Pelodiscus sinensis: one gene and its partners. Each later gene encodes a partner of the first gene's protein in a complex. Links are inferred from orthologs where the notes say so. Each region holds a gene or a part of one and is shown on either strand. Other genes may lie near its edges.

What was found.
Region 2: TIMM21 (region 1) and TIMM17A share a complex: the UniProt entries of both Homo sapiens proteins name them as parts of the TIM23 complex. The link is inferred for Pelodiscus sinensis from reciprocal best matches to the Homo sapiens genes TIMM21 and TIMM17A.
Region 3: TIMM21 (region 1) and TIMM17B share a complex: the UniProt entries of both Homo sapiens proteins name them as parts of the TIM23 complex. The link is inferred for Pelodiscus sinensis from reciprocal best matches to the Homo sapiens genes TIMM21 and TIMM17B.
Region 4: TIMM21 (region 1) and SMIM20 share a complex: the UniProt entries of both Homo sapiens proteins name them as parts of the MITRAC (mitochondrial translation regulation assembly intermediate of cytochrome c oxidase complex) complex. The link is inferred for Pelodiscus sinensis from reciprocal best matches to the Homo sapiens genes TIMM21 and SMIM20.

The regions. Positions count from the first base shown.
Region 1 is NC_134712.1:95,701,256-95,708,325, forward strand, and holds the start of TIMM21 (mitochondrial import inner membrane translocase subunit Tim21), read left to right. Parts: upstream 1-4,060; 5' UTR 4,061-4,351; coding exon 4,352-4,649; intron 4,650-7,070. UniProt on the Homo sapiens protein: Participates in the translocation of transit peptide-containing proteins across the mitochondrial inner membrane.
Region 2 is NC_134737.1:16,752,852-16,760,246, forward strand, and holds the start of TIMM17A (mitochondrial import inner membrane translocase subunit Tim17-A), read right to left. Parts: upstream 3,007-7,395; 5' UTR 2,949-3,006; coding exon 2,851-2,948; intron 1,058-2,850; coding exon 958-1,057; intron 1-957. UniProt on the Homo sapiens protein: Essential component of the TIM23 complex, a complex that mediates the translocation of transit peptide-containing proteins across the mitochondrial inner membrane.
Region 3 is NW_027466031.1:273,209-280,279, reverse strand, and holds the start of TIMM17B (mitochondrial import inner membrane translocase subunit Tim17-B), read left to right. Parts: upstream 1-4,069; 5' UTR 4,070-4,202; coding exon 4,203-4,228; intron 4,229-4,437; exon of another isoform or gene 4,438-4,682; intron 4,683-5,894; exon of another isoform or gene 5,895-5,946; coding exon 5,947-6,046; intron 6,047-6,164; coding exon 6,165-6,228; intron 6,229-6,314; coding exon 6,315-6,443; intron 6,444-7,071. UniProt on the Homo sapiens protein: Essential component of the TIM23 complex, a complex that mediates the translocation of transit peptide-containing proteins across the mitochondrial inner membrane.
Region 4 is NC_134715.1:101,593,666-101,601,247, forward strand, and holds the start of SMIM20 (small integral membrane protein 20), read right to left. Parts: upstream 3,009-7,582; 5' UTR 2,934-3,008; coding exon 2,825-2,933; intron 1-2,824. Other genes in the region: SEL1L3 (protein sel-1 homolog 3), read left to right, coding at 5,896-5,958.

The DNA of each region.
Region 1 (7,070 bases):
CTGGCTGGGGAGGCTGAAGTCACATGCCCTCTTCCCTCCCCAGTGCTCCAGGCCCAGGACATTGGAGCCATGCACCACCTGCCCTCCCCATGCTCCAGGGCCGGGGAAGCTGGAGCCGCACACTCTCCTCTCGCTCCGTGCTCCAGTGCCAGGGATGCTGGAGCCACACACCCTCTCCCCTCCCCATGATCTGGGGTGAGAAGGGCTGTGGTGCGCACATGTGGGGGTGCCCCCACAGTGTGCTGCCCCATCTTCTCATGAGGGGTGGGGGCTCAGAAGAAGGGGCGGGGTTGGAGTGGGGCTCGGAGCTTGTCTCCCCAGCCCTACCTTCACCAACTGCCCATGATGCCGCCTCACCTTACTAGTCTCACTCTTGTTGCTAATCCTTTCTCAAGCAACTGTTAACTCAGACTGGCCTTGTCTACACTTACAGCACTGCCCCAGTGCTGCTGCACCACTCCAGGGGCTGTGTCTACACTGGGCCACTTATTCCGGAAAATCAGCCGCTTTTCCAGAATAAGCTGCGAGCTGTCTACACTGGCCCTTGAATTTCCGGAAAAGCAACGACGCTCTACTGTACAAAATCTGCCGCTATTCCGGAAAAACTATTCTGCTCCTGTTCGGGCATAAGTCCATATTCCGGAACACTGTTCCGGAAAAGGGCCAGTATAGACAGCCCAGTAGTCTTTTCCGGAAAAAAGCCCCAATCGCGAAAATGGCGATCGGGGCTCTTTTCCGGAAAAGCGTGTCTACATTGGCCACAGACGCTTTTCCAGAAAAAGGGCTTTTCCGGAAAAGCAGCCTGTCAATGTAGATGCTCCTTTTCCGGAAAAACTGAAAACGGAATAGTATTCCGTTTTAAGCAGTTCCGGAAATTCATGCCAGTGTAGACACAGCCCCCGAGAGATTCTCCAATCAGCATAGGTACTGCACCTCCCTGGGAGGGAGTAGCTATCTGTAGAACCAGGTGCAAATACTAAATTTGTATCCACATCAGATCTGCAACTGCAAAAATGATCCATGGTTATAAGCATATATTTGCAGATTCACAGGGCTTGAGATATAAAATTTGGATCTGCATCCATCTGCAATCTGCAAAAAATGGTCTGCAGATAACAGCAGGTGTGGATGCAGATAAATGCAGATACAAAGCAGATATCCTTATATTTGCAGGGCTCTAGATATTTCCAACAATAGGGCTACGTCTACACTGGCAGCTTCTTGCGCAATAACTCTTTTGCAGAAGAGTTCTTGTGCAAAAAGTCTTCCAGAAGAGAGCGTCTACACTGGCATGTGCTTTTGCGCAAGAGATGTGCTTTTGCGCAAGAGCATCCATGCCAGTGTAGATGCTCTCTTGCACAAGAAAGCTCTGATGACCATTTTAACCATAGGGCTGTTGCCTGTCTACACTGGCCTCTTGCGCAAGAACAGTTGTGCAAAAGGGCTTATTCCTGAGTGGGAGCATCATAGTCCTTGAGCAAGAAGCCCTGATTTCATACAGTAGAACGTCAGTTTACTTGCGCAAGAACACACGGCCAGTGTAGACAGGCAGCAAGTTTTTGTGCAAGAGCAGCTGCTTTGGTGCAAGATCGCGCCAGTGTAGACACCTAGGCTGTGTCTACACTGGCATGAATTTCCAGAAATGCTTAAAACGGAATACTATTCCGTTTTCAGTTTTTCCGGAAAAGGAGCGTCTACATTGGCAGGCTGCTTTTCCGGAAAAGCCCTTTTTCCGGAAAAGCATCTGTGGCCAATGTAGACGCGCTTTTCCGGAAAAGAGCCCCGATTGCCATTTTTGCGATCGGGGCTTTTTTCCGGAAAAGACTACTGGGCTGTCTACACTGGCCCTTTTCCGGAACAGTGTTCCGGAAAAAGGACTTATGCCCAAGCGGGAGCAGAATAGTTTTTCCGGAATAGTGGCTGATTTTGTACAGTAGAGCATCATTGCTTTTCCGGAAATTCAAGGGCCAGTGTAGACAGCTCGCAGCTTATTCTGGAAAAGCGGCTGATTTTCCGGAATAAGTGGCCCAGTGTAGACACAGCCCTAGAGTCAAAACGAGTAGTCCCTATGGCACCTTAGAGGCTAACAAAAATATATATAGTATCATGAGCTCTTGTGGGCAAAACCCACTAACAGGGCTATCCCTCTGAGACATGAAAAAGATACTATTCTACCTACATGGGTCATTAACATCCAGGCTTAAGCAAGTCTCTAAAGTGCTTTGTAAATGTAAAGCACTCGAGATGGTATGTATTAGTTATTAAGCACTGAATTTAAATGCCAGTGAAAGTTTTATGTTGATAGAGCCTAAAGAAAATATTAAACTGCATCTAATATTACAAAGAATTTACAAACAATGGACCATTATCTTGTTAAGACAACAGTTCCCAAACACTAGTCCCCAGCCCAGCAGCGGGCCACGAACCCTCGTCTGCCGGGCTTCTGCACGTTGCCAGGCCACACCCCAGCTTTTATTTACTCCGCCCCTTGGTTTCCAAGAGAATTCCCTTCTGTAAGGCACCTCACAACAGGGTGAGTGGGGCAGCTGGTAGCTGGGTGTGCTGAGGCTGGAGCCATCCTATTGGGGCAGCCTCACCATGGCCTCAGTTCCAGGTCCAGCAACCACTACGTGGCCTGGCCAGCAGGGCCAAGGGATAGCGGCTGCCCCAGCCGGGGGAGGGGAGGGGAGGGGAGGGGAGAGGAGACAAGCGCTGTGCAGGAAAGCGACTTCCAAATGCCGCATGTACAGTGGCTGCCCTGGTTCTAGAAGGAGCTGCACAGGGCAGGGCGTGAGGGAAGCCCTGAGAAGCACTGAGCCCCTGCAGAAAGCACATGCAGAGCTGAGGGGCAGCAGGCTGCCCATAAATTGGAAGCATGGCCCTTTTAGCCTCTCATCTCAAAACAAAAGACAATGTAAAAAATGCAATGTAAAATAATGTGACCCCTTAATATTACCATAATAAATATGGAAATATGCAAACACATTAATGACAACATGAATATGCAAATATTCCATTGCCAGTCCTCCAGCAGTTTTTGGATGAGTTTGCTGGTCCTCAGTATAAAAAAGATTTGGAACCGCTGGGTTAGGACATAAATGTCTGCTACTCTGTCTATAGTGGGCTATCACAGATTCTTAAAGATGTCATAAAGTACAATTCTGTTATTCTTATTATCATTATTGTAGCTTCCATGCTAAAAGCAGTAGAGTCTCTTATGATTGAATTCCAACTGTAATTATAGCTTCTGCCTTTTCAGTGCTCACAACTTCCTCAAACATATTTCTTTTAAGTGTGAATTGTCCTAGAAAGTTTGAGTAAAATCTTTACAGGTGTTTTTGGGTAGTGGCTTCATGGAATTATTTACTAGCTGAGTTTAATTAATAAATATTTATATGATTATATAGGAGCTGTATGCACATGCTGACCACAAAGGAATTATTGGGAGGAAAACATAATAAATACATAGAATTTGACCAGGGGGGCAGAGTTACTTTTATGTTCACTCAGTTGCTGAATCAGGCCCTGTTAAAATAGATTTTACATCCATCCGTTTCCATGATGAAAAACGACCATTTTAGAACCTCATCCTGCAAAGACCATGGGACTAAAGGTGTCCCTAAATCTTTGCAGGATTTATTCACCTTGAAAAAGGAAGAAATGCTTCTTTTACCACTATATTTGCAAAACAATAGGCAGTTCGCATTATTGCAAGGTCATAATGTTTTCCTAAAATGACAATTGGAAACCTTCAAAAAACGAAAAGAGAAGAAAACACTCCAAAACATATGCTCTTTTTCATTCACAAGCGCTGAGAGTTAAAGGAAGTCAAAAGCATCCAGCCTCCCTTACTACTTTTGTTACGTGGTATCTGTTCTAGAACCAGGAGATTGAAATTACTGTAGGTTTGTGTCGGTGCAATTTAATCTCACAGGCAGGAGCTGGCGCTTTGCATTGTGGTAGTTGTAGTCATTTTTCCTTTCAGCTACTATTAAATATAGATGGGAGGCGAATTTCTGTGAACTACAATTCCCAGGACCTCATGGCATTTTTTTTCCAGGGAACTTTGCAAACGTGATGGAGGAAGTTGAAAATGTCAGCGAGCACAGGGTAATGTAGGTTTCTCGATTAAAGTAAATCAACAAGGTAAAAGCAAATTCAAATTGAGAGATTGCTCCAATTCTGTTTCACTAAAGGGACAGCACCTTCATTGCACACACTATGTATGCGTTGCTTAGGTGCAGATTACATTAAGTTAAGATCTTTCCTGCAATAATCAAGGGAGGGTTTAGTTCAACTAATCTACATAGATCTTTGTTTGTTGGTAACATACTAAGACTTGTTTTGCCTCATGATGTTTTCTCCTTCGTTTACACGAGTTATTAAATGCAGCGAGAAGTTACAAGGCTCGACAGGAAAGTGGTTGCTTGCCCTCCATGGGAAAGTGTTTCTAAGGACTTGGCGGTGTTTTATGTGGGGGCAGGAATTTTCCCACATAGAATCTGTGTTGCGTCCTCGTATGCTTTTCCAAGGTGCAAAACAAAATATCTGGACCCAGGAAGGATCCCTCAGAGCTGGGAATAACAGCAAACAAGTGTCTGTGCAAAGAAGTCACAAAGGAGGCGCACCCGTGTCGGCTGCTCAGAAAGGTAAGTGAAAGTGAAGCTATGGCCAATATTAATTAGCAACTTGCATTGGTTTTAAATAGCAGTGACCATCTACAGCCCTACAACTGAGGAATATAAAACTGATTCCCACAGCTGCAACTCATCCCCTGGTTTATACATTGCATTTTTTAGCATAACTTTATACAGAGTTGACTTTTAACTGGTATGTGTGTATTACACACTCACAGGCTGTGTCTAGACTGGCAAGTTTTTCCGCAAAAGCAGCTGTCTACACTGGCCGCTTGAATTTGCGGAAGAACACTGACAATCTAATGTAATATTGTCAGTGTTCTTCCGCAAATACTATGCTGCTCCTGTTCGGGAAAAAGCCCTCTTGCACAAATGTAGTTGCGCAAGAGGGCCCGTGTAGACAACTAAAAACTGTTTTGTGCAAAAAAGCCCCGATGGCAAAAATGGCGATTGGGGCTTTCTTTTGCAAAACCGCGTCTAGATTGGCATGGACGCTTTTCCGCAAAAAGTGCTTTTGCGGAAAAGCGTCCATGCCAATCTAGACGCTCTTTTCCGCAAATGCTTTTAACGGAAAACTCTAGATGTAGCCAATAGGTAAGTGGCAGGCTTCTTATAGGTAGGCTAATTGGAACAGGCCTAATATGTTTTGTAGGGTCCACATAAGTAACACACAGTGCTCTCCATCTGTCTCCCCAGTTATGGTTGGATCCCCTTGCATGCAGAAGTTTAACACTACATTCCTATTCTCTTGCCTTCTGCCTGCCTGCAGTCAGCTTTTAGCACCACTCCAGCCTTGGAGAAAAAATAGGAAAAAAAAATAAACCTAATCAGCAATATTTGGGTTAAAGGCTGATACAAATTCAAATGTTAACTCTTCTAAAATAATTTTCTTCCTCCAAACACACATCACATTTTCTTATTACCATTGTAACAAAAAAGCAGTCTTTAGGTGAGGAAGAGTGGCTTTGTACCTAATAATTTCCAAATCTATGTATTAGATTAATATTTGATATCAGTTTCATCAGTCCCTCTTTAATGTGGAGATTGCAACTCACCTCTAAGGATTTCTTCCACTTGGCCACAGTGATCTTAGATTGCACAGCATCCATTGATTAATATGAAAAAACCAGAAAGGAATGTAGAGGTGATTTAAACCCTGTACATTAGGGATGTGAAAGTGTAAACATATACCTGGTTAACGGTTGAGCCTGGGCTCATCAGTTAATCTTCACAATTACATGCAGGCCACCCCTCTCCCACTGTTGCCTCTGTATCAGCGGCTATAGCGGAGGGCAGGTGAGGCAGGAGCTGGTGTTCGTGCATACCAGCTCCCGCAGAGCCTCCTATTCCCCCATCCCCTCACTGTTGCCTCTGTGTAAGAGGCAGCAGGGGGGAAAGCAGGTGGGACCCGGTGCTCAGGGGGAGTTAGCTGGCTCTGCAAGTGCTAGCTCCCGCTTGCCTCTGCCCCCTTTCCTCAACCTGTAAACATGTAATTACTGATTTTTTTCACTGCTTACATATTTACCTGAATAAACACATTTTCATGTCCCTGATATAAATTCTACATCCATGTCATTTCCTGAAGATTAAAACTGGCTTAGTTTAGTGAATTAAGAAAGTGATTTCCAGACATTGGTCCATTTGCTAGTTGCCTGCAGAGAGATGGCTGATCACATGGTACTGGCACCTCCTTTGTAGCTAATACAGTTACAAAAAATAGTGAATGTTTTTCTGGTAGTGTTTTTCCATGTATGTAATCAGGGTAGTTGCCACCAATGACCAATGTTGCCATTTGATCACCAATAGAAGGGGAGACAACCCAAATTGTTTCAAAAGGGAAGGAAGAAGCAATGTAAGAGGCTTTGGTATAGTCCATAGTGGAGATCCCACTTTTCAGCCATCTCAGCTGTATTACTCTCCAAGAACCATCTTCGTCTTTCATAATTATTTGATTAATTTTCAATCTAATAGGAACGTGCTGAACCATATAATTCTATTTCTCTGACCTAATGTTGAGGCCAACAAGTGTGGTTGTTCCCCCCCCCCCCTTCACTATTTAATGAAAATCATCTTACAAATATAAATATGCATAATTTGGAGACGCTATAGACAAAATTTCTCATGTAACCTATCCGTTTTGAATGTAACAATTAACTGGATCTATATATCCTGTTTTGGTGTATGAATCATTCTTTTATAAGATTGTTTATAGTTTTAAATATGCTAATGAGAGACATCACTGGATGCCCGGAACCCTTAACAACTTGGTGATCAACTTAACGATTTATAAATAGCTTTGTTTGTCCTGTAAGTCCAAAGGTGTTTTGACTAGTTAGATATGTGACCACACCAGCTGATAATTGGGATGGCATTTTGATCCAGGTATTTTTCCATGGAAGGGAGAATATAGAACGAAAGATTTCCACCCTGAGG
Region 2 (7,395 bases), on another chromosome or scaffold:
ACTCAGAAATGCCCCTCTTAGCCGCATGCCTAAGCCCACATGGAATAGAAGATTTTGCAGTAAAAGTTCCTTAGATGCCTAAATTTCTATGTCAGGGTATGCAAACTACTACCTCACACTCTAAGCTCGAGTGCAAATCACAAACTAGGGGAACATAGGTGCTCCTCCGCCTAACTTGCATGCCTAACTCCTTACGAAATAGCTGGAAGGATTGAGGAGAACGGGCGCGAAGGGGAAGGAGGAGCTATCTCGTAACTTTGGGCCCAGTAGAGTACTCACCCAAGACAAGGAGGAAATCAAGGATACAACTCCCAACACTTGTTGAGAAGGAATATGAAGTGGGTTTTGCCCCCCTATTAGGTGAGTGTCCTAATCCAATGTTCCCAAATATGTGGGTCTTTTTGCAACCCTTCATTACATATATGCCTGGCATTGCAACCCTAATCCTGGCCCAGTGTGGAGAGGGGGCTTTGGGCCTGTCCCACCCTCACCCCTCAGCAAAAGCTCTGGTTCCACTAGGTTTGACCCTGCTTGTGACTTGGTGCCAGGGGTCACAGCACCACTTAATGTGGCTAATGAAGGATGGGGAGCTGAGCAAATTCTAAATGGCACTGCAACCCTAGGCAGGATACCCCAGCAGGAAGATGTCCCTTAAAAAGGTTTCCCTAGGGCTGCCACCGGTCATAGAAGCCATAGGGAGCATGCAGAAGGCAGCAAGGCTTCTATACAGATGGACCCATACTTTATGTGGATCATGGGAGATGGAGCAGGTTTATTCTCCTGGTCTGCAATCTCTCCTGCAGGGGATAAATACTGTCTCTCAATACGAAGACTGGGGACAAGTTATCATGAAGAGAACCTTATGGGTATTTCCTCTTCTTAGGTCACTCCTATATGTTTCACTATTGGAAGCAAAGCTACTATATTAGCTTATCTACAACAAATTATTTTACTCACCACTGGGGAATTTCTGAACCCTTTGATAGCTTGGAAGATGCCACCACCTATGACTCCCATTGTGAAGGCACCACCACAGTCATCCACTATCCGCCAGGGGCTAAAGAGGAAAAACAAACAGAAATATAAAGTGCTGAAATCAAGGATAAAGAATAAGAAAACTATCAGAACTTTCCAATTACTAGGGATGTAACAAGTGGTTTTAAAAGGTAACCACGTAACCGCTAAAAATCTTAGCGGTTACATGCACTGAAGACTCTTTATACTGCAGAGCTTGCAGCAAAACTTCCCTGGGAGCAGGGCGGGCAGGGGCAGGTGGCCCCACTTCTAGGGAGACTTTGTTGTGAGATCTGCAGGTAGCTCTGCAAGGTAGGGATCCATAGTGTGAACCTGTAGCAGAGAAGTCAGGCCCACTGCAAAGAGGGGCTGCTTTGACCAGCCAGAGAAACCCCTGCCTGCAGTGGGCCCAGTGGGGCTAGAGCAGCCCTCTGTCCAGAATGGGTGGGGAGCTGCTCCAGCCCCTACCGGCTTTCCTGTTAACCTTTTACACCCCTGTCGATTACACATTAACTTTATGTACCTACGCTCTCCCAAAATACTTACCAAGTTCTAAGGTTCTCTGCACAGTCACGCATTAAGTTATTATACATAATTTATGGTATTTGGGCTCAGTTACAATTTTTACTTCATTTGATTCTATGCTTTCTTATACATACAGTGCCACTCCCTACCAGCACAACCTGATAGTAATACCAGGGAACAAAATACAATGTCCCATTGACTGTCCTCATTCCATCAAGTTTCTGTGATGCCTATGATATCAATATCCTCATCTAATACAAAGCATCCATCTTATTATTTAGACTTCTAACAATTTTACATAATCACTTTAGGACACAGAGAAACTCCACTGATTGAGCATCATCCGAAGGGATGCCTCTGTCCTAATGTCAGAGAATGCTGCCACAGAGATACTAGACTTCAATCTCTTACCTAGTTGCCTAAATTCGGCCTTTACAACCTCTCTCCTATTTGTCCTTATGTCATTGGTATGTACCTGTACCACAATCAGGTCTTCCCCAGCACTACACAGAAGAGTAGAGAAGATCTGCAACCTTGGGGGGGAGGGATAGCTCAGTGGTTTGAGCCCTGGCCTGCTAAACCCAGGGTTGTGAGTTCAATCCTTGTGGAAGCAAAGGTTTGTCAGGGATGGTACTTGGTTCTGCTGTGAAGGCAGGGGCCTGGACTCAATGACCCTTCAAGGTCCCTTCCAGTTCTAGGAGACAGGCAATCTCCATTAATCTTATAAAACATTTTTTTTAATGTTAACCTTTGTGCCAGATAGGCAAGTCACCGTGCACTTCTGCTAGTCACTGCAAACTCAGCTAAAGACCAACTACTACGGGTCCCTCCCTAATGACTCGACCTCCCTCCCCCAGAGAGGTGCCCTCAGTGCAGAGGGATGCCTGAAGGCCAGGATTGGACCCTTCCCCATGGCTGCAGCTGGCTGTTCTTCCTGAAGCTGGCTCGCTGCTCGCTGGCCGGGGGGGGTTCTGCAGAACCCGGGACAGTGGCACCGATTTACCTCTCCGCGTGGCCGGGAGCAGCACTGCAGCGGAGACCGGCCAGAGCAGCCCCCGTACCGCGCCTGCTCCCGCCCCCGCTGCTCTACGAGCCCCACGGCGGCCGAGCCCGTTTCCTCCACTCGCGATTCGCGCGTGTGTGTTCCCGTCCGCGCTGCGTGTCACGGGTCCAGGGTTCGCGCCAGGCGGCCGGGTCACTGCGGGCCCCGCTCGAGGCTACCACGCGCCCAGGCAGGGAGCCAGCCCGGGCCCTCAGCGGGACTCCCCGGCTCGCGCCCCCCCCAACGGCCGCCGCGCGCCCCAGACTCACCAGGGCTCGCGCGCGTACTCCTCCATCTCGTGCACAACCGGCAAACTGAGCGCGTCACGTGACGGCAGGTCACGCTCCCGGACGCAAGGCCACCGCATTGGCTGCTGCCCGGCGCGCCGGCCAATGGCGTCCGGGCAGGGCGGGGCGCGCGGGACGCGCCCTTGACCCCAAGCCACCTGAACCCCTCCCCCATCCGCTCCGCGGCGGTTGGGCGTTACCCGCCGCGCCCCTCCCCCCGCTAGGGCCGGCCACGTGGCTCGCACGGGCGGGGCGGGGCGCGGGCTCCTGTCCTGCTGCAGCAGGGCCCCTCCCTGCGTTTCAAACGGGCGAGGGCGGCCCCCCCCCGGCCAGCGGGCTGCAAAGCGCCGGGGCGCTGGAGCCCCGCAGAGGCGAGTTTCTAGCACGAGCAAGGCAATCAGCTGCTCGGGGAAAGCAGCGTCGGGGATCGGCGCTCCCCGAATTAACTCAAAGTAAGGAATTGAAACACTAATTGCACTAATTGCACCGCTGCAAACGAGACGAATGGCTCGGTGCTGCCCGGTGTGGGAGCCATTGATCTCTGTTACAATACAGCTACAAAGTTACATCACGTGATCTGGACCCATGGCCAAGCAACACTGGAGATATTCCACAGAGACTTTCACAAGCTACAGCCCATCAACCTCAGCCTGGACCGTTCCACACGAGAGATCCACTTCCTGGACACCACAGTCAAATCACCAGTGGTAAATTAGATACCACCCTCTACAGAAAACCCACCGACTCATACAGTTACCTACATGCATCCAGCTCCCATCCAGAACACACCACACGATCCATCGTCTGTAGCCAAGCCCTTCAATACAACTGCATCTGCTCTAATCCCACAGACAGAGACCAGAAACTTCAGGATCTCTACCAAGCATTTATAAACCTCAACTACCCACCTGGGCTATGTCTAGACTGCAAGCCTCTTTCGAAAGAGAGCGTCTAGACTGCACGTTGAACTTTCGAAAAAGCGGCTTGCTTTTTCGAAAGAAAGCATCCAGTGAGTCTGGATGCTCTCTTTCGAAGAAGCCCTATTTACATTGAAGAACGCCTTCTTTCGAAAGAAGAACTTTCGAAAGAAGGTGTTCTTCCTCGTGAAATGAGGTTTACCGCCATCGAAAGAAAAGCCGCGTTCTTTCGATTTAATTTCGAAAGAACGCGGCTTGAGTCTGGACGCAGGGGAAGTTTTTTCGGAAAAAGGCTACTTTTCCCGAAAAAACCCCTGAGTCTGGACACAGCCCTGGAGAAATAAAAAAACAAATGGAAAGAGCCAGACAAATACCCAGAAACCATCTATTTCAAGACAGACGTAAGAAAACCAATAATAGAACACCACTTGTCATCACCTATAGCCCCTAACTTAAACCCGTCCAACACATTATCAATAAACTACAACCTATACAGTTCCAACAGGATACTACCCTCCGAGAGGCTCTGGGAGACAGACACATAATCTCCTATAGACCACCACCTAACCTCAGGGTGATTCCTACCAACAACAGGACATATCACACTAATATCTGCTTCCCAAGATCCATAAACCTGGACACCCCCGACGCCCCATCATCTCTGGTATTGGCACACTCACTACTGGTCTACCCAGCTATGTAGACTCTCTCCTCAAACCCTACGCAACCAACAACCCCAGCTATCTCCGAGACACTACTGACTTCCTAAGGAAACTACAAAACATCGATAACCTCCCCAATAACACCATCCTTGCCACCATGGATGTAGAAGCACTATACACCAACATCCCACATGAATACTGATTACAAGCAATTAGAAACTCTATCCCAGAGGACACCACTGCCAGCCTGATAGCAGACCTATGTAACTTTGTTCTCACCCACAATTATTTCAAGTTTGAGAACAACTTATACCTCCAGATCAGCGGGCACAGTCATGGGTACACGCATGGCCCCACAGTATGCTAATATCTTTATGGCTGACCTAGAACAACGTTTCCTCAACTCCCATCCCCTTTTACCTCTTCTCTACTTACGCTACATCGATGACATCTTTATGATCTGGACGCATGGCCAAGAAACACTGGAGACATTCCACAGAGATTTCAACAACCTACACCGCACCATTAACCTCAGCCTGGACCATTCTACACGAGAGATCCATTTCCTGGACACCACAGTACAAATCAACAATGGAAAATTAGACACCACCCTCTACAGAAAACCCACTGACTCATACAGTTACCTACATGCTTCCAGCTCCCATCCAGAACACACTATACGATCCATCATCTATAGCCAAGCCCTTCGATACAACCGCATCTGCTCTAATCCCACTGACAGAGACCAGAAACTTCAGGATCTCTACCAAGCATTTATAAACCTCAACTACCCACCCAGAGAAATAAAAAAGCAAATTGAAAGAGCCAGACGAATACCTAGAAACCATCTACTTCAAGACAGACCCAAGAAAACCAACAATAGAACACCACTTGTCATCACCTACAACCCCCAACTTAAACCTGTCCAACACATTATCAATAAACTACAGCCTATACTGGAACAGGATACCATACTCAAAGAGGCTCTGGGAGACAGACCCATAGTCTCCTATAGACAACCACCTAACCTCAAGATGATTCTTACCAACCACCACAGGACATACCACACTAATACCAACCCTGGTACCTTCCCTTGCAACAAACCCCGTTGCCAGCTTTGTCCACATATTCACTCTGCTGACACCATTATTGGGCCTAACCAAGTGAGTTATAAGATCAAGAACACATATTCCTGCGCATCCAGAAATATAATCTATGCTATCATGTGCTGAAAGTGTCCGTCTGCTATGTACATTGGACAAACATCTCAGACACTTCGCCAAAGGATTAATGCCCACAAAACAGATATCAGACAAGATCACAAAGAAAAAACAGTTTCTTGCCATTTTAACCAGAAAGGACACTCTCTCAATGATTTAACCACCTGCATTCTGCTACAAAGACCTTTTACATCTGCACTTGAAAGGGAATCCTCTGAACTGTCATTCATGTTAAAATTCGACACTTTCCAAAAAGGACTCAACAAACACTTGAACTATCTCACCCATTACCAAGATAGTTTCCCCAATTATCACCTCTAATACCATTAACTCACAAACATCCCACTCTCCCTACCTCTAATATCATCAATTCACAGACACTTACCTTCCTTCCTTCCCCCCCCTGCATCCCCCTCCTGTTCTGCAATGTGATTTGTCCTTTTCATATGTGTTCATTTTTTTTTTTATCCTTTGGTATATATGGTTGTGACTACTTTCTTCCACTATTTGATCTGAGGAAGTGGGTCTGGCCCACGAAAGCTCATCATCTAATAAACCATCTTGTTAGTCTTTAAAGTGCTACATTGTCCTGCATTTTGCTTCAGCTACCCCAGACTAACACGGATACATTTCTATCACTAGGACTATGCAGCACTTTAAAGACTTTCAAGATCGTTTATTAGGTGATGAGCTTTTGTGGGCCAGACCCACTTCCTCAGATCAAATTGTGGAAGAAAATTGGCACGACCATATATACCAAAGGGATACAATAAAAAAAAGGGAACACACATAAAATTGACAAATCAGATTTTTTTTTTGGATTGTATCCTTTGGTATATATGGTCATGTCAATTTTCTTCCACTATTTGATCTGAGGAAGTGGGTCTGGCCCACGAAAGCTCATCACCTAATAAACCATCTTGTTAGTCTTTAAAGCGTTGCATAGTCCTGTCTTTTGTTTCAGCAAGACCAGACTAACACGGCTACATCTCTATTACTATTCATTTAGAAGAGGATAGTTGCTGTATGTCAAACGTATTATTGTAATGAAAGCTGCCAGAAGGTGGTGCTGTGGGTTTTATTTAGATAGGACTTGGGGGGCGGGGAGGAGAGGGGAAAGGCTAGAATGCGAATAGGAAAGGATTAATGCCCACAAAACAGATATCAGACAAGATCACAAAGAGAAAACAGTTTCTTGCCATTTTAACCAGAAAGGACACTCTCTCAATGACTTAATCACCTGCATTCTGCTACAAAGACCTTTTACATCTGCACTTGAAAGGGAATCCTCTGAACTGTCATTCATGTTAAAATTCAACACTTTCCAAAAAGGACTTAACAAACATTTGAACTATCTCACCCATTACCAAGACAGTTTCCCCAATTATCACCTCTAATACCATTAACTCACAAACATCCCACTCTCCCTACCTCTAATATCATCAATTCACAGACACTTACCTTCCTTCCTCCCCCCCCTCCCCCTCCCAGCCCTGCATCCTCCTCCTGTTCTGCAATGTGATTTGTCCTTCTCATATTTGTTTATTTTTTTTAATTGTATCCTTTGGTATATATGGTTGTGACTACTTTCTTCCACTATTTGATCTGAGGAAGTGGGTCTGGCCCACGAAAGCTCATCATCTAATAAACCATCTTGTTAGTCTGTAAAGTGCTACATTGTCCTGCATTTTGCTTCAGCTACCCCAGACTAACACGGCTACATCTCTA
Region 3 (7,071 bases), on another chromosome or scaffold:
AAGGACTCCTGGGTTCGCCGCATGGGACGGGCATGGGGGTCAGAACCAGGGGGGAAGAGGGAGCAAGGACTCCTGGGTTCTCCGCATGGGACGGGCATGGGGGTCAGAACCAGGGGGGAAGAGGGAGCGAGGACTCCTGGGTTCGCCGCATGGGATGGGCATGGGGGTCAGAACCAGGGGGGAAGGGGGAGCAAGGACTCCTGGGTTCTCCGCATGGGACGGGCATGGGGGTCAGAACCAGGGGGGAAGAGGGAGCAAGGACTCCTGGGTTCTCTGCATGGGACGGGCATGGGGGTCAGAACCAGGGGGGAAGAGGGAGCAAGGACTCCTGGGTTCTCTGCATGGGACGGGCATGGGGGTCAGAACCAGGGGGGAAGGGGGAGCAAGGACTCCTGGGTTCTCCGCATGGGACGGGCATGGGGGTCAGAACCAGGGGGGAAGGGGGAGCAAGGACTCCTGGGTTCTCCGCATGGGACGGGCATGGGGGTCAGAACCAGGGTGGGGTGGGAGCAAGGACTCCTGGGTTCTCCGCATGGGACGGACATGGGGGTCAGAACCAGGGGGAAAGGGGGAGCGAGGACTCCTGGGTTCTCCGTATGGGACGGACATGGGGGTCAGAACCAGGGGGGAAGGGGGAGCGAGGGACTCCTGGGTTCTCCACATGGGACGGGCACGGGGGTCAGAACCAGGGTGGGGTGGGAGCAAGGACTCCTGGGTTCTCCGCATGGGACAGGCATGGGGGTCAGAACCGGGGAGGGGTGGGAGCAAGGACTCCTGGGTTCTCCGCATGGGACAGGCATGGGGGTCAGAACCGGGGGGGAAGGGGGAGCAAGGACTCCTGGGTTCTCCGCATGGGACAGGCATGGGGGTCAGAACCACGGGGGAAGGGGGAGCGAGGACTCCTGGGTTCTCCGCATGGGACAGGCATGGGGGTCAGAACCAGGGAGGGGTGGGAGCAAGGACTCCTGGGTTCTCCGCATGGGACAGGCATGGGGGTCAGAACCACGGGGGGAAGGGGGAGCGAGGACTCCTGGGTTCTCCGCATGGGACAGGCATGGGGGTCAGAACCGGGGGGGGTGGGAGCGAGGACTCCTGGGTTCTCCGCATGGGACGGGCATGGGGTCAGAACCGGGGGGGGGGGGTCTCCTGGCTTTGCTCCCCACTCCGGCCCATGGCCCCCAGGAAATACATCTTGCAACATCCTCAGTAGAATTTCTGGTGGTGGGGAGAAGAGTTTCAGGCTGCGGAGGGGGAAACTGAGGCAGACGGCTCTCCCTCATGCCCCCCATCCACCTCAGAAGGCGCAGCAGCCGTAAGTACCCCGCCCCCCACGCCACCTGGATCTGGAGGGGGGCTGCAGCCACATGCCTGGGAGGACCCCACGTTTCCATGGAGCTAGGGGAGAGCAGCCCGTCCCGCTGGGGGCCACACACCACGGTCAGTCCCAGCCCGTCTCCAGGTTTATTGGGGGAGGGGCTCAGTCCTGCTGCTTGGCGCGCGAGGCCTCGGCGTTGGCGCGCAGCACGGCGCCGGGGCTGGGGTACGGGCGCTGCTGGAACAGGGGCCCGGCTGCCGTCGTGTCCGCCCCCGTCTTCGCCTCGTTCCGCTTCGGGAGCCCCGTCGACCATGTGCCCCTGCGGGGGAGGGGGCAAGGTCAGCGCAACACCCCACCCACTGCAATAGACCCCTCCCCTTCGCCATTCCCGCCGCCCCGCACCCCTCCCCAGCACCCTCCAAGCCTCACCGAGGGGCGTCCGAGTAGGCGCTGGGGTCCATGGGGTCCAGCTCCTCGTCCTTGCGGCTGCCTGGGGAGGGAACGGCAGGGGCTGTATTCAGTGCTCCCCATCCCCCCAGGTACCAATTCCCCCCCTTCCCCTCCCCACTCAACCCACTTTGCCCCCCAGCTGCGCCCCAGGCCCGGCCCCCTCCCCACGCACTTTTCTTGCTCTTGGGGTAGGGCGCCAGCTCCTCCCGGCGGTGGTAACGCCGCTCCTTCACCTCCACGCGCTCCGGCTTCTCGTAGGGGCGCTCCGGCTTCTCCTCGGCGTCTGGGGGAGACACAGGCCCTGGCCTCAGCCTGGTGTCTGCGCCCTCCCCCCTGCCCCCTCCGAGCCACTAGCCCCCACACCCGGAAAGGGCAGGAGCCCGCCCAGCTCTAAGCACTAGACCCCACTGCCTTGCCGTTACCCAGGCTGTTCTTCAGCTTCTTAGCGGCTTTGGTGATGACGGAGCCGGGGTCGTTAGGAGACAGCCAGCACCAGGTCGTTCTCCATGTTCCAGTAATAGGGGAGGCCGCTGGAGGGCAGGGGAGACAGAGTTCATTCCCTTCCCCGCCACGCTTGGGCTGAGATGCAGCCGTGTCTGGGGCAGGGCCGGGGAGGGGGCAGCCACGCCCAACGCGGCAGGGGGGCGCCCTCTTACCAGATGGGGTCAAACACTTTGTACCAGTTGGGAGGCAAGTTCTCCATTCTGGTGGCCTCGTAATCCACGTGGTCGTCGTCATAATCTTCAGCGATGATCTCCTCCTCCGGCTCTGAGGTCAGCGGGAGTCAGAGAATCCCCGGCACAGACCCCTGCCCCACGGCGCCCGGACCCCCGGCCAGGGAGAGCCCCCCGGCTCCCCCTCTGCCCCTGCGCCCCGGCCAGGGGAGAGCCCCCCCGCCCCATGGCGCCCAGCCCCCCGGCCAGGGAGAGCCCCCCGACTCCCCCTCTGCCCCTGGCGCCCCGGCAGAGGAGAGCCCCTGCCCCACGGCGCCCGGACCCCCAGCCAGGGAGAGCCCCCCGACTCCCCCCTCTGCCCCCTGGCGCCCCGGCCAGAGGAGAGCCCCCCGCCCCATGGCGCCCAGCCCCCCGGCCAGGGAGAGCCCCCCGCCCCATGGCGCCCAGCCCCCCGGCCAGGGAGAGCCCCCCGCCCCATGGCGCCCAGCCCCCCGGCCAGGGAGAGCCCCCCGACTGCCCCCTCTGCCCCCTGGCGCCCCAGCCAGGGGAGAGCCCCCCCGCCCCATGGCGCCCAGCCCCCCGGCCAGGGAGAGCCCCCCGACTCCCCCCTCTGCCCCCTGGCGCCCCGGCCAGGGAGAGCCCCCCGACTCCCCCCTCTGCCCCCTGGCGCCCCGGCCAGGGAGAGCCCCCCGACTGCCCCCTCTGCCCCCTGGCGCCCCGGCCAGGGAGAGCCCCCCCGCCCCATGGCGCCCAGCCCCCCGGCCAGGGAGAGCCCCCCGACTCCCCCCTCTGCCCCCTGGCGCCCCGGCCAGGGAGAGCCCCCGACTCCCCCTCTGCCCCCTGGCGCCCCGGCCAGGGAGAGCCCCCCGACTGCCCCCTCTGCCCCCTGGCGCCCCCGGCCAGAGGAGAGCCCCCCGCCCCATGGCGCCCAGCCCCCCGGCCAGGGAGAGCCCCCCGCCCCACGGCGCCCGGACCCCCGGTCAGGGGAGAGCCCCCGCCCCATGGCGCCCAGCCCCCCGGCCAGGGGAGAGCCCCCCCCGCTCACCGGGCTCCACGTGCTTGAGGAGGCCCCGCTTGCCAGGCGAGACTGAAGCGCCACCGGCAGCGGCATCGCGAACCCTGCGGGGCGGGACCGTCAGGGGGAGAGCGGCCCCGGCCCCGCCCCCTGCCCCCTGGCCCCTGCGCGCCCCGCCCCCGGCCACGCCCCTGCCCCCCCCGCCCTAGGCCCCGCCCCCTGCGCGCCCCGCCCTCCCGCTCGGGCCCCCCCCCCCGCACCAGCTCGTCCGGCTCCTCCAGGCCCCTGCCACTCGCGTGACGCCTCGGGGGTCCCCGCCCACGTGACAAGATCCGACCAATGGGAGGAAGGGAGGCGGGGCTCTCAGCTTTGCTTTTCCGGCAGGCCACTCGGTGCCCTCATGTCACGTGACAGAGCGCTCGGCCCCGCCCCAAAGGCCAACCAGTCAGCGGGAAGACGGAGTCTCTCATGTCACGTGCTGGCAAAAGAGCCAATAGGGAGGCCCTGACCCCTTCTTGTCAGGTGACCGCAGGGCCGGAATACGGTTTTTTTATGTCATGTGCCTCTCTCTGGCCAATCAGAGCAGAGACTCACCCCGGCCCGGTGTGTGACGCGAAGGGGAGCAGACACCACGTGATTCCAGCTGTCCAATAGGGGGGCGCGGGGTGCCCCTTGCTTGTCACGGGACAGTCGGGTCAAGGGGCGGAGCCTTATGCTCACGTGACCGGCGCGGCCGCTGTTGGGAGTCATGGAGGAATATGCCCGGGAACCCTGGTGAGCGGCCGGGGGGGGAGGGTCAGTCTCTTTTTCCTCCCCCCCCTTCCGGGAAGCTTGGTCTGCCCCGCCCTGAATGCGCCTATGGGCGGGCGAGTCCACTGGGGCAGGAAGGGGGGGGGCAGCGAGGGAAAGCCCCTCCCCCCACGGCCGGGGCCCGTGGGCCGCTCCATTTGGTGCCTGGCCGGTCTGGTGCCTGGCCGGTCTGCATAACGAGCCTCCCCGGGCGCTGTTGGTCACTTGGTAGCGCCCAGCCCCTTGTGTGGCCTGAGGCCCGGCGAGTCCATTGGAGGAGCATGGGGGGAGGCAATTCTCTGAACGCTCAGCACACGCCCTTGGGATGGATTCACCTGCCCCCTTCCGTCCTTTGCCCTGCTCCGTGGGGGGCTCGAAGAAACTGACACCCCTATTCTTGGTCACTTGGTAGTTGCCGGGTTTTGGTATCTGTGAGCGGGTGAGTCCATTATGGAGAAAGGTGGGGGTGGGATGAAAGAAACGGACTTGTCGTCCCCCCTCCCCTTCCCGTGGAGCTGGGAGACACCAAGTCACCACGGACCGTGGGGGGGGGGGGGGTGTTGGGAAATAGCAGGAATTAGAGGGGGGTTGTACCATGTGGTGGTCCCTTGGCTGGGGGGGTTATTGTAGGGTCTCTTCTTGCAGGGAGGGGCCGGATGTGCGTGGTGGTGGCTGGGGGGGAGGCGGTGATGGATTTATTCTAGTGTCTGGGCTGAGGAATCACTTCCCGTGGGGTGACCCCCCCCCGGGATCTGCTCGTGACACCCCCCCCCCGGGATCTGCTCGTGACCCCCCCCCGGGATCTGCTCGTCCCTGCAAGTGTTGTGCTTAGTTGTCCTTTCCGGGGGAAGAGGCAAAGGCCAGGTCTTGGTGATACACGTCTAGCAACCCACCTTCTCCTAGACATCGGCTAGATCCCACCCACACACCCTGACTCCTGGTCACCAATAGTTCCCCCTGACTGCACTGGCCAGGTGAGTTAGGTGGGGCCCCTGCAAGATGCCGTCGATTGGTGACTCTTCGGGGGGTGTCTCAGCGCTGCCCCATGCACCTCCAGAGAGGGGGTTCCCAAAAGCAGGCCCCTGCTGCTGACCCCCAAGGCATCCACAGGTCCAGTCTTCTCTCAGTGGGCCTGCTTCCCAGGCCCTTTCACAGGTTCTTGGCTCTGGCTCCCATCCCCTCTCCGGAGGTGCTGGTCTTCCCGTATCCAGTCCCACCTCATCCGCTCCGTAGGGCCTGTTCTACCAAGACTCCATGCGCTGAGCCCGGCTCTCGATGGACAGGCACAGGGGTTCTGTGTGAAGGGACTCGGTGCAAAGCTAAACGGACGTGATACAAAGTTAAAAACTTCAATGAGAAAATGGCTAGTGCAGAGATTGATGATTAATAGAGAGATCTACCTACAGCAGCCCCCTTCGTCCACCCCAGATTCCTGCTTTCCCTCCCCCCCCCCCCACACGCTTGCATAGCTTTCCTGCAGGTGGGCTTGGTGCTGTGGTGGGGCTGGTGTCCCCTCGGGCTCATGGCGGGGTGGCCGGGCGCCCCGGAAGGGGATGGTTGCGCGAGGGTATCTGGCTGTTGTGGAGCTGTTACTGGGGGGGGAGGGGTGCCCTCTTTCTCCCCTCCCCCACTGATGTAGGGTCTTCTGCAGGGTTTGTTTGTTGTAGGGTCTCCCAACCTGGCTAACCCCCCTTCTCCGGCAGCCCATGGCGCATTGTGGACGACTGTGGCGGTGCCTTCACCATGGGGATGATCGGCGGGGGGGTCTTCCAGGCCATCAAGGGCTTCCGGAATGCCCCAGTGGTGAGCCCTGCCTAGCCCCAGCCTCCCCTCCATTGCCTGACAGCTCTCCCCAGCCCCCGACTTCTGGGGGAGCGGGGCAGCATCTCAGCTCACTTCCCCCTCTGCTCTCCTCCCCCAGGGCGTTCGACACCGGTTCAAAGGCAGCGTCAGCGCCATCCGCATCAGAGCACCCCAGATTGGAGGTGAGGGGCCGCGGTGTGGGGGGAGGCATGGCCAGGTGGGGTACGGAGCTGAGGTGCAGCTCATCCCTGCTCCTTCCTGTCCCCAGGTAGCTTTGCAGTCTGGGGCGGCCTCTTCTCCACCATCGACTGTGGCCTGGTGAAGATGCGGGGAAAGGAAGACCCTTGGAACTCGATCACTAGTGGGGCCCTCACAGGAGCTGTGCTCGCCTCCCGCAGTGAGTGCCAGGGGAGGGCCCCCTGCCCCGCCCCTGTTGTGCTTAAAAGAAGCACCTGGGATAAGGCCACATGCCACATTTATTGACCATCCATAGATGGAGCCATACTTATCCGATGCATAGGACACATCACTCTCATGCACTCTCACACGCACACTCCGTCTTGTTGTTCCCAAAAGTTGCTCCCCTTCACTGCACTGGCCAGGTGCGTAAGATGGGGGAGGGGTGGAGCCAGGCTTCTGCAGATCCGGATCGATGCTCCCATGTTGACAAGAGGAAAACCCAGGGTCCCTCTGCAAGATGCCTCCTATTTATCCCTTTCATGCAGCCAATTAGGCATCACCTCACCTTTCTTAATGCTGCTTCAGAGAGAGTTCTTCCAAGGGCAGGCACTTGCTGCTTGACTCCCAAGGGGTCTGTATGTCCAGTCCTCTTAATGAGCTCCCTTTACAGGTACTGTCTTGGATCTGGCTCCCAGACCTTCTCCACTCTTGGGACTGCTGCTGGAGGTGCTCCCCTTTCATTCTCCAGTCACACCTCAGTCATTCCAACAGGGCAACCAAGGAAAGGGCAGAGCTCAAAAGACAGTTTATCTTACAAGATCTCTTAATACAAAGTTCTAGGAGAA
Region 4 (7,582 bases), on another chromosome or scaffold:
CTATATGATTAGCCAAATAATCGCATTTAACATCCTTATTCTGGACTAGAGAGGTTCAACCTGTACTAGCTTGTTTCTAGTAAGTTTGTTGCTCTCTGTGTCTATATATGTATATTCCAGACACCATGGGAGGCTCTCTAGCAAGCAAACTAGCAAGTGTTATAGATATGAAACCCACAATCACACTACAGTTTACAATATAAAAGATTTTTTTTTTAAATCACCATTCTACTGCTCAAGTAAAATGTCTTAAACAACAGTAATTCCAAGAGACCATACGTAGAATCATAGAAATGGAAAGGACCTTAAGATATCATCTAGTACAGTTCTCCTGCACTCATGGTAGGACTAAATATTATTTAGAATGGGGTGGAGAGCCTCAGGCCAGCCCGCAGCTTGCTCCCCCACTATCTCACCACAGGACTGGAGCACATAAAATCTAATAGCCTGGGCCCTTCTGGGTCTTAGGCTCTGATTTGCAAGAGGAATGTGGGGAGTGCCTTTTCCCCTTCTCAGTCAGGGATCAGGTGAGTGAGGGGTTTTTTTTTGTTTTGTTTTTGCCCCCAACTGATTATTCTGTGGATCAGCAGCCCCCTAAACCCAAAAGTTTCCCCACCCAAATCTAGACCATTAGGTGTTTGTCCAACCTGCTCTTAAAAATCTCCAATAATGGATATTCCACAACTCCCTAGGCAATTGGTTTCAGTGGTTAACTACCCTAACAGGAAGTTTTTCGTAACGTCCAACATACACCTTCCTTGATGCAATTTAAGCCCATTGCTTTTTGTCCTTCTCTCAGAGATTAAGCAGAACTATTTTTCTCCCCCTCTCTCTGTAACAACTTATGTTGTTGAAAACGCTTATAATGCTCTCTCACGTCTTTTCTTTTACAGACAAAATAAACCCAATTTTTTCCAATCTTTGCTCATAGGTCATGTTTTCTAGACCTTTAATCATTTTTGTTTGCTCTTCTCTGAACTTTCTCCAATTTTCCACATCTCTCCTCAAATGTGGTGCTCAGAACTGAGCACTTGAAACCTAAGCAGCACAGAGTAGAGTGGAAGAATTACTTCTCACGTCTTGTTGAAAACATTCTTATTAATACATCTCAGAAATATATATATTTATTTTTATTGCAACAAACAGTGTCACACTGTTGATTTATACATATCTTGTGGTCCACTATGACCCCCAGATACCTTTCTACACTACTCCTTCCTAGGTAATCATTTTCCATTTTGTATGTGCGCAACTGATTCTTCCTTCCTAAGTAGAGAACTTTGTATTTGTCCTTATTGAATTTCATCCTATTTATTTCAGACCATTTCTTCAATTTGTCCAGATAATTTTGAATTTTAATCCTATTTCTCAAAGTCCTCCCAACTTGGTATCATCTGCAAATTTTACAAGTGTACTCACTATGCCATTATCTATACAATGGATAAAGGTAATGTACAGAACCAGTCTTACACCTGATTCCTGTGGGATCCTACTCGTTATGGCCTTCCAACATCACTCCACCAATAACTATTCTCTGGGAATGGTTTTCCAGCCAGTTTTTCACCCACCTTACATAGTAACTCCATATAAGCTGTATGTCTCTAGTTTTTTTATGAGAAGGCCATGAGAGACAATATCAAAAGCTTTATTGAAGTCACATCAACCACTTCAGTATGCAGCATGGAGAGAATTATTTGGGGGTGATGATGCTAGGATTAGTGATACAAGTAGGGATGTTAAAGTGTACCCAGTTAGCCATTTAATTGATAAATGGATTCTTATTGGTGTCAGTTGCGCTCAGTTCTCCAGGGAGGCAGCTTTGCTGTGAAAAGGCAGCAAAGTCTCCTCTCCAGAAGCCAGGCCGGCAAGGGCTACCCACTCTGATCCTGGGGAGAAAGATTCGGTGCCACAGCAAAGCCCCCACACCTCCCCAGGAGCCAGACCTGGGGAGGCTTTGCTGTGGGCCCTCCAGTATAAAGCTAAGCTTTACATTGCAGAGTCCACAGCAGGTGTAACCATGTAACCACTGAGATTTTCAGAAGTTACGCAGCTATCTTATTACACGATTTTCAACATCCCTAGTGCTAAAACCAGATCTATATTACACTTGGAAGGCTGGCTTAATTACAACTACATAAATACAATTACAGCAACATAAATAATGGAGCTGGAGTCGATGTACCTTAAGCCGAGCTATCTCCATAGCAGGAAGTCAACGGGAGCAAATGCTCCCGTCAACTTCCCTTACTCCTCGTGAATCAAGGAGTAGCAGTGGTGACCGGACAGTGCCCTCATAATTTAATTGAGCAGGTCTTTAGTAGTCCCTCTAAACCAAACACCAGAAGATGAATCTCTGGCCCATAAGTATAGTCAGATGAAGAACAGGGTTGCACCCATTAAAGCTCACAATACCATCTACATGTTTCGTTCGTCTTTAAAATGCTATCAGACTATTCGTTGTTTTTAAGGATGTAAAATCCCGTTTAAAAGGTACCTGGTTAACCGGCGCGGGCAGGAGGCTGGTTTACTGGTTACCCCTTTGTACCCAAGTAATGACTAGGCGAGTCAGGGAGGAATCACTGAGCAAACGAAGCGCTGTCTGCAGGGCAGGGAGCAGCACAGAGAGGGGGCGTGAGGGCGAGGCCCAGGGATTACACAGGGAGGGGAGCTCGGTGGCGGATACACCACGGGGAGGCTGCTCCCTGGGGCCCGTGGCACGGCCGGGAGGGCGGGGACAGGGAGCTGGGCGCCTGGAGCGAGGGTGAGGGGCGCTGCGCGGAGAGCGGCGCGGGGCTCACGCCAGGCTCGGCGGGGCCGTACTCACTATATTGGTCCACCTGCCGCAGCGGCCGGAAGTAGATGGGGTAAAACGCCGCCCCCACTACGGCCACGAACCCGCCGAAGATGAGCAGCGTGCGGGAGTGTCGCCCCATAGCTAGGCAAGGCGAGGGGCAGACCTCCACCCTCTGACCTCTCACCTTCGACTGCAGTTTACCCGCTTCCGCTTCCGGGGCAAGTGCAGGCGCCACTGAGAAGCTAAGCCCCGCCCCTTCCCGAAGTCTCCCGCTTCCTCGCTGTGGCAGCCCCGCCCCCCACTTCTGCAGGCGCCTCGGGGCGCGTCCCCCGCTGCGTCCTAGAGGCGGGCTGCGAGCTCCGGGGGGCGGGGCTCGTCACCTCGCTTCAGTGCGGCCTGTGCCGGGATGGGGGCTCCTTGGCGGGGCTATGGCAGCAGCGGGGGCCTCACGCGTCTCCAAGGCCGCGACGTGCGCCGGGCTTTGCACTCCAGTGGTAGCGATGGGGCTGGTGCAGAAGCCCCGTCGGATGCACAGACAGACAGACAGACAGGAACTGGGGGGGAGAGGGGTGCAGTCAGCTGAGCGCAATAGAACAGCTGTTCAACACCATTTGACAGCCCGTGACGTGAATGATAATATACCCCATGGAAACCACTCATACATTCTGACTCCAATCTTTTCGTAGTTCCACCATCACCGTGCCTGTGCCTTCAGACACAGTAGAACAAGCAAACTAAGTTCGTGAGCTTTGTATTACATTTTTATCTCTCCAAAGATGCCAAAGTGGCTTTTTTGCAGATAACCAGCCCGATACTGCTTGTCCCGGAATCCAGTTCCTTGGGTACTTTGAATGTAACCTGTGCAAAGAAAGAAATTACTTGTAAGAGCACTATCAATCATTTTCTGCCAGGAAGATTTATTTGAGAAAAGGTTATGTTCTGCTTTTTTATATGTATAACAAATATCAATTAAGGTTGTCAGTCTTTGCTGGTTTTGCTGGAGGTCTTCTTGGACATACCAGATAAGGATAAGAGATTTCTTAGTTTTTAACAGAAGGCAAGATAATGTTCAATATTTTACAGCTTTTTCTGCCCTGCGTGATAAGGTGTTAGAGTTGTATATATTTCAAAAACTGAATAATAAAAGTCATTGTCCCTTTAATCAACTTTCACTTGAATGGTGACTCATAAATCTACAATTTTAGGATAAGCACATTGGACACAATCTGAATCTTTAATGTAAAAAGTAGGTTTTCCAATGCTCTTAGAAGGAAAAATAAACCCAAAACTTTTCAGGCTTTTATTTTGCATCATAAAAATGGAAAATAATGGTATACACTAAATTTTCAGTTTTGGATATTAAAAAGGACTAGTATTTGTAGTATGAGAAGACGGCATATTTGTCAACCTAAAGGCTGTGTCCTTTCCAGACAGATACAAGTGTTTTCAATGACAGAACTTGTACATAGTACAATACTTCAGATGTTGGGAAGTAGTATTTGCCAAATCCTGTTGGTAATGAAGCTGGTGGGAATTTGATGGGGAGCAGAATAAGGGTCATATCCTGTAAGGCTAAAATTCAACAGAGAGTAAAGGAACCTCGTGTAGCCCTACATACCACCTGCATTAAGGGCTCCACATATCTGTAAGAGATCTGTCAAAGCATATTGATTAGGACCAAGGCCTTAGTCCCGGGAGGGCAGGAAGCCTACAAGTCTTTCTATGGGTGTACATAAATGACAGATAATATTGAACTTCATCATCTAATGCAGCTCTTAATTACAATGTTTCAGGAACATATATTAAACAATAATTTTATCTCTATTATTAAATTGGCACAGTCATGCCATATGTTTAAGTTTGAAAGTATAAGTAAATAGTACAATTTATGTGAGTTGTTCATGGTAGCTACTATGCCTTCCTATGTGTGTGGACAGTTCCTAACTTCCTATAGGCTCTAGCATAATGCAGATAATATAATAGTAATAACATGTACCAAGGATTTCAGACCATGCAATGTCTTTTTATTGTAATTTCTATAATTCTGAGGTTATTATTAATAACTAATACAATTACAAGGTGCACTTTTCTAGAGATGTGACAAATGTTCTCAGAGCTCTTTACTGGCATTCCTATTTGACTGATGGCTTCCTGAGGAAGTCATCATGGGAAGTCTATTAAGGCAAAAAAATCCAGGAAACCTAAAGACAGGCATAAGATTATGGGAACTGTTAGATGGATCAAGCTCCCAGGTTCAGCTAATCCAGTATCTGACAGAGGCCGGGGTGTGTATCTACATCGGGACCAAAGGCTTCAGAACGAAATGCAAGAACTCCCACGGCAACAGCTTTGAAATAATCTGTTTCACGTAGGTCCCATCGTGGGCTCTAACAGCAATTGGTTAAACTTTAAATCCTGAAGCATGAGAATTAATAGCTCTTCTGTAATGTTACACACTAGCAGGGCTACCCCTCTGAGATTTCTGTGATGTGTTAGCACAAATCATTGTAACTCTTGGTCCATGTAAATGCATGAGCCCTTCTATCAGAGGCTCAGAGCACCTGCAAACTAAGGTATTTTTAATTCTCTCCCTTTCTCCCACTCCCCCATCCCGAGAGCGGCAGTTGGAGGAGAAACAATACACACAATTCACACTATACACAGGCCAGCGTGTCAGGCAGTGCTGGGCAGTCCCAGCAGCATCCACAGACTCAGATAAATAGCTCTAGGGGCGAGCAAAACGAGCGGGTTGTCCCCCTCCACACCGTTACACCCAGGGGAAGGTCAACGAGACTGAGGGAGGGAACAAAGGAGGAGCAGGTGCGCCTGGCGTCCCCAGCTCGGCTCGTCCTTTCGTGCTGCACCTGCCCAGCGAGACTCCAGCCCCGCCCGGGCGGAGCCTCCTCCCCCCGCAGCGGCTGAGCTCCAGGAAGCAGGATCTGCCTAGTCCCCGTGGCCGGATTCCCCCGGCGGCCGCGCGCTCTGGCTGCCCTGAGCCGGCACCGACCTGCAGCAGCAAGTGCCGCTCTGGGCCTCGACCCGCCGCGTGCCGGCCCCGCGTCGCCCATGGGAGCAGCCGGCGCCTGAGCCCCATCGGAACCATGTGGCGCCCAGCGGAGCCCCGGCCAGTGCCCCGTGGGGGCCTCCTTCTGCTCTGGCTGCTGGTGAGCCCGCCTCCCCCACTCCCCGCACACCTGCTGCCGCGCCGCTGCGGGGCTGGCCGGGACCTACTGCCGGGGGCTCTGGGCTGGGCTGGGCTGCCAGCCCCTTTGCCCCGCAGCAGGCACTTCTGTCGCTGCCAGCCCCGGAAGCTGGGCAGGAGCCCGCTGTGCTCTCCGGTATCCTCTCTCCCTCCCTTCGCATCACACCCCTCGCACTCCCAGTACTCCCCCAGCTTCTATCACACTTCTCTCCATGCACCCCCTAGCACAGTCCCTAGTCACCCTCTACACCACCCCAGCACACTCCAATGACCCCCCAGCAATGCTCACCCCCTACACCACCCCAGCGCACTCCAATGCTCCCCCAGCAAGCCCCCATATACTCCTCCATCCACTCCAGCACACCCACAGTTACAGCTCTCCAGCTGTCCCAGTATACTCCTCCACCTACCTCAACACACTCCCAATACCCTGTCCCAATACACACGCTATCCAACACAACACATTCCCTATGCACTCTTCCTTTCCTATACACCTCTCCTTCCACCCCACATTGCTAATACAGCCACATCCTTCTGCACTTCTCCATCCACCCCAGCATACATCCAATATGCATACCTCTGTCCACCTCAATACACTCTTAGTATACTCCACCAAACCAGTTCATACTTCCTTCTGTGAACTCCGACACAGTTCCAGTACATTTATCTTTCCATCCACCCCCAACCCATTACCAATGCTCTCCTGCACCCCAGTACACCCCTCTATCCACTCCAACATACTCCCAGTACAATCCCAAACATATCTCCAGTAAATTTGCCACACCCATATCCCTAATGAATGCCCTTTCTCCAATGCACAAAAATCCTGGTTCTACTCTGACATCTCTTCATTATTCTGCCCCACTACCACACACCTCTTGCTCCTTTATAATCCTTCTCTTTCTTCCCTTTTTTTCTGCTGCCCCAAAATACACATCTGTTCCCTTAAGAGCCTTTTCCCCTGTGCCTACCCAACTGCACCCTCTCCTGTCAACACACCACCCTCCTGCCAACCCTCATCAAAACATACTCTGATTTCTATTCCCAGGGATGATGATGATGACTTCCCCTGCCACCTCTTCCAATTTTTTCTAATACTGATTTAAAAAAAAACCAGAATATTTTAGTTTTCAACTGACAGTATTTTAAACAAAGTATTAGCTTATTTACAGAATTAAATGTATATATCTAGAATCTAGAAAATTATATTTTTATCATTTGCACAGTAATTTATACACTTACTTGTCACTTTTTCACAGATCTATATTTCAGCCATCAAGCATAAAAAAGTTACAAATCTAGATCGCATATTAAAAGCACTTAAGGACCATTCTTGTCCAGGGTCCTGGACTCCTACTCATGATCAATCATTATTAAAAAGAAGAATCCAATTATTTTCCATAGGGCTATATTCACTTCAATCCTAGGAATAGAGGGTTGGGAGGGACCTCTAGAATTCATCATGTCCAGTCCCCTGCACAAAAGCAGAATCAAGTAAAATCAGACTATCCATGACAGGTGCGTGTTCAACCTGTTCATAAAAAACCTCCAGAAATGGGGATTCTTCAGCTTCCCTTAGAAGACCA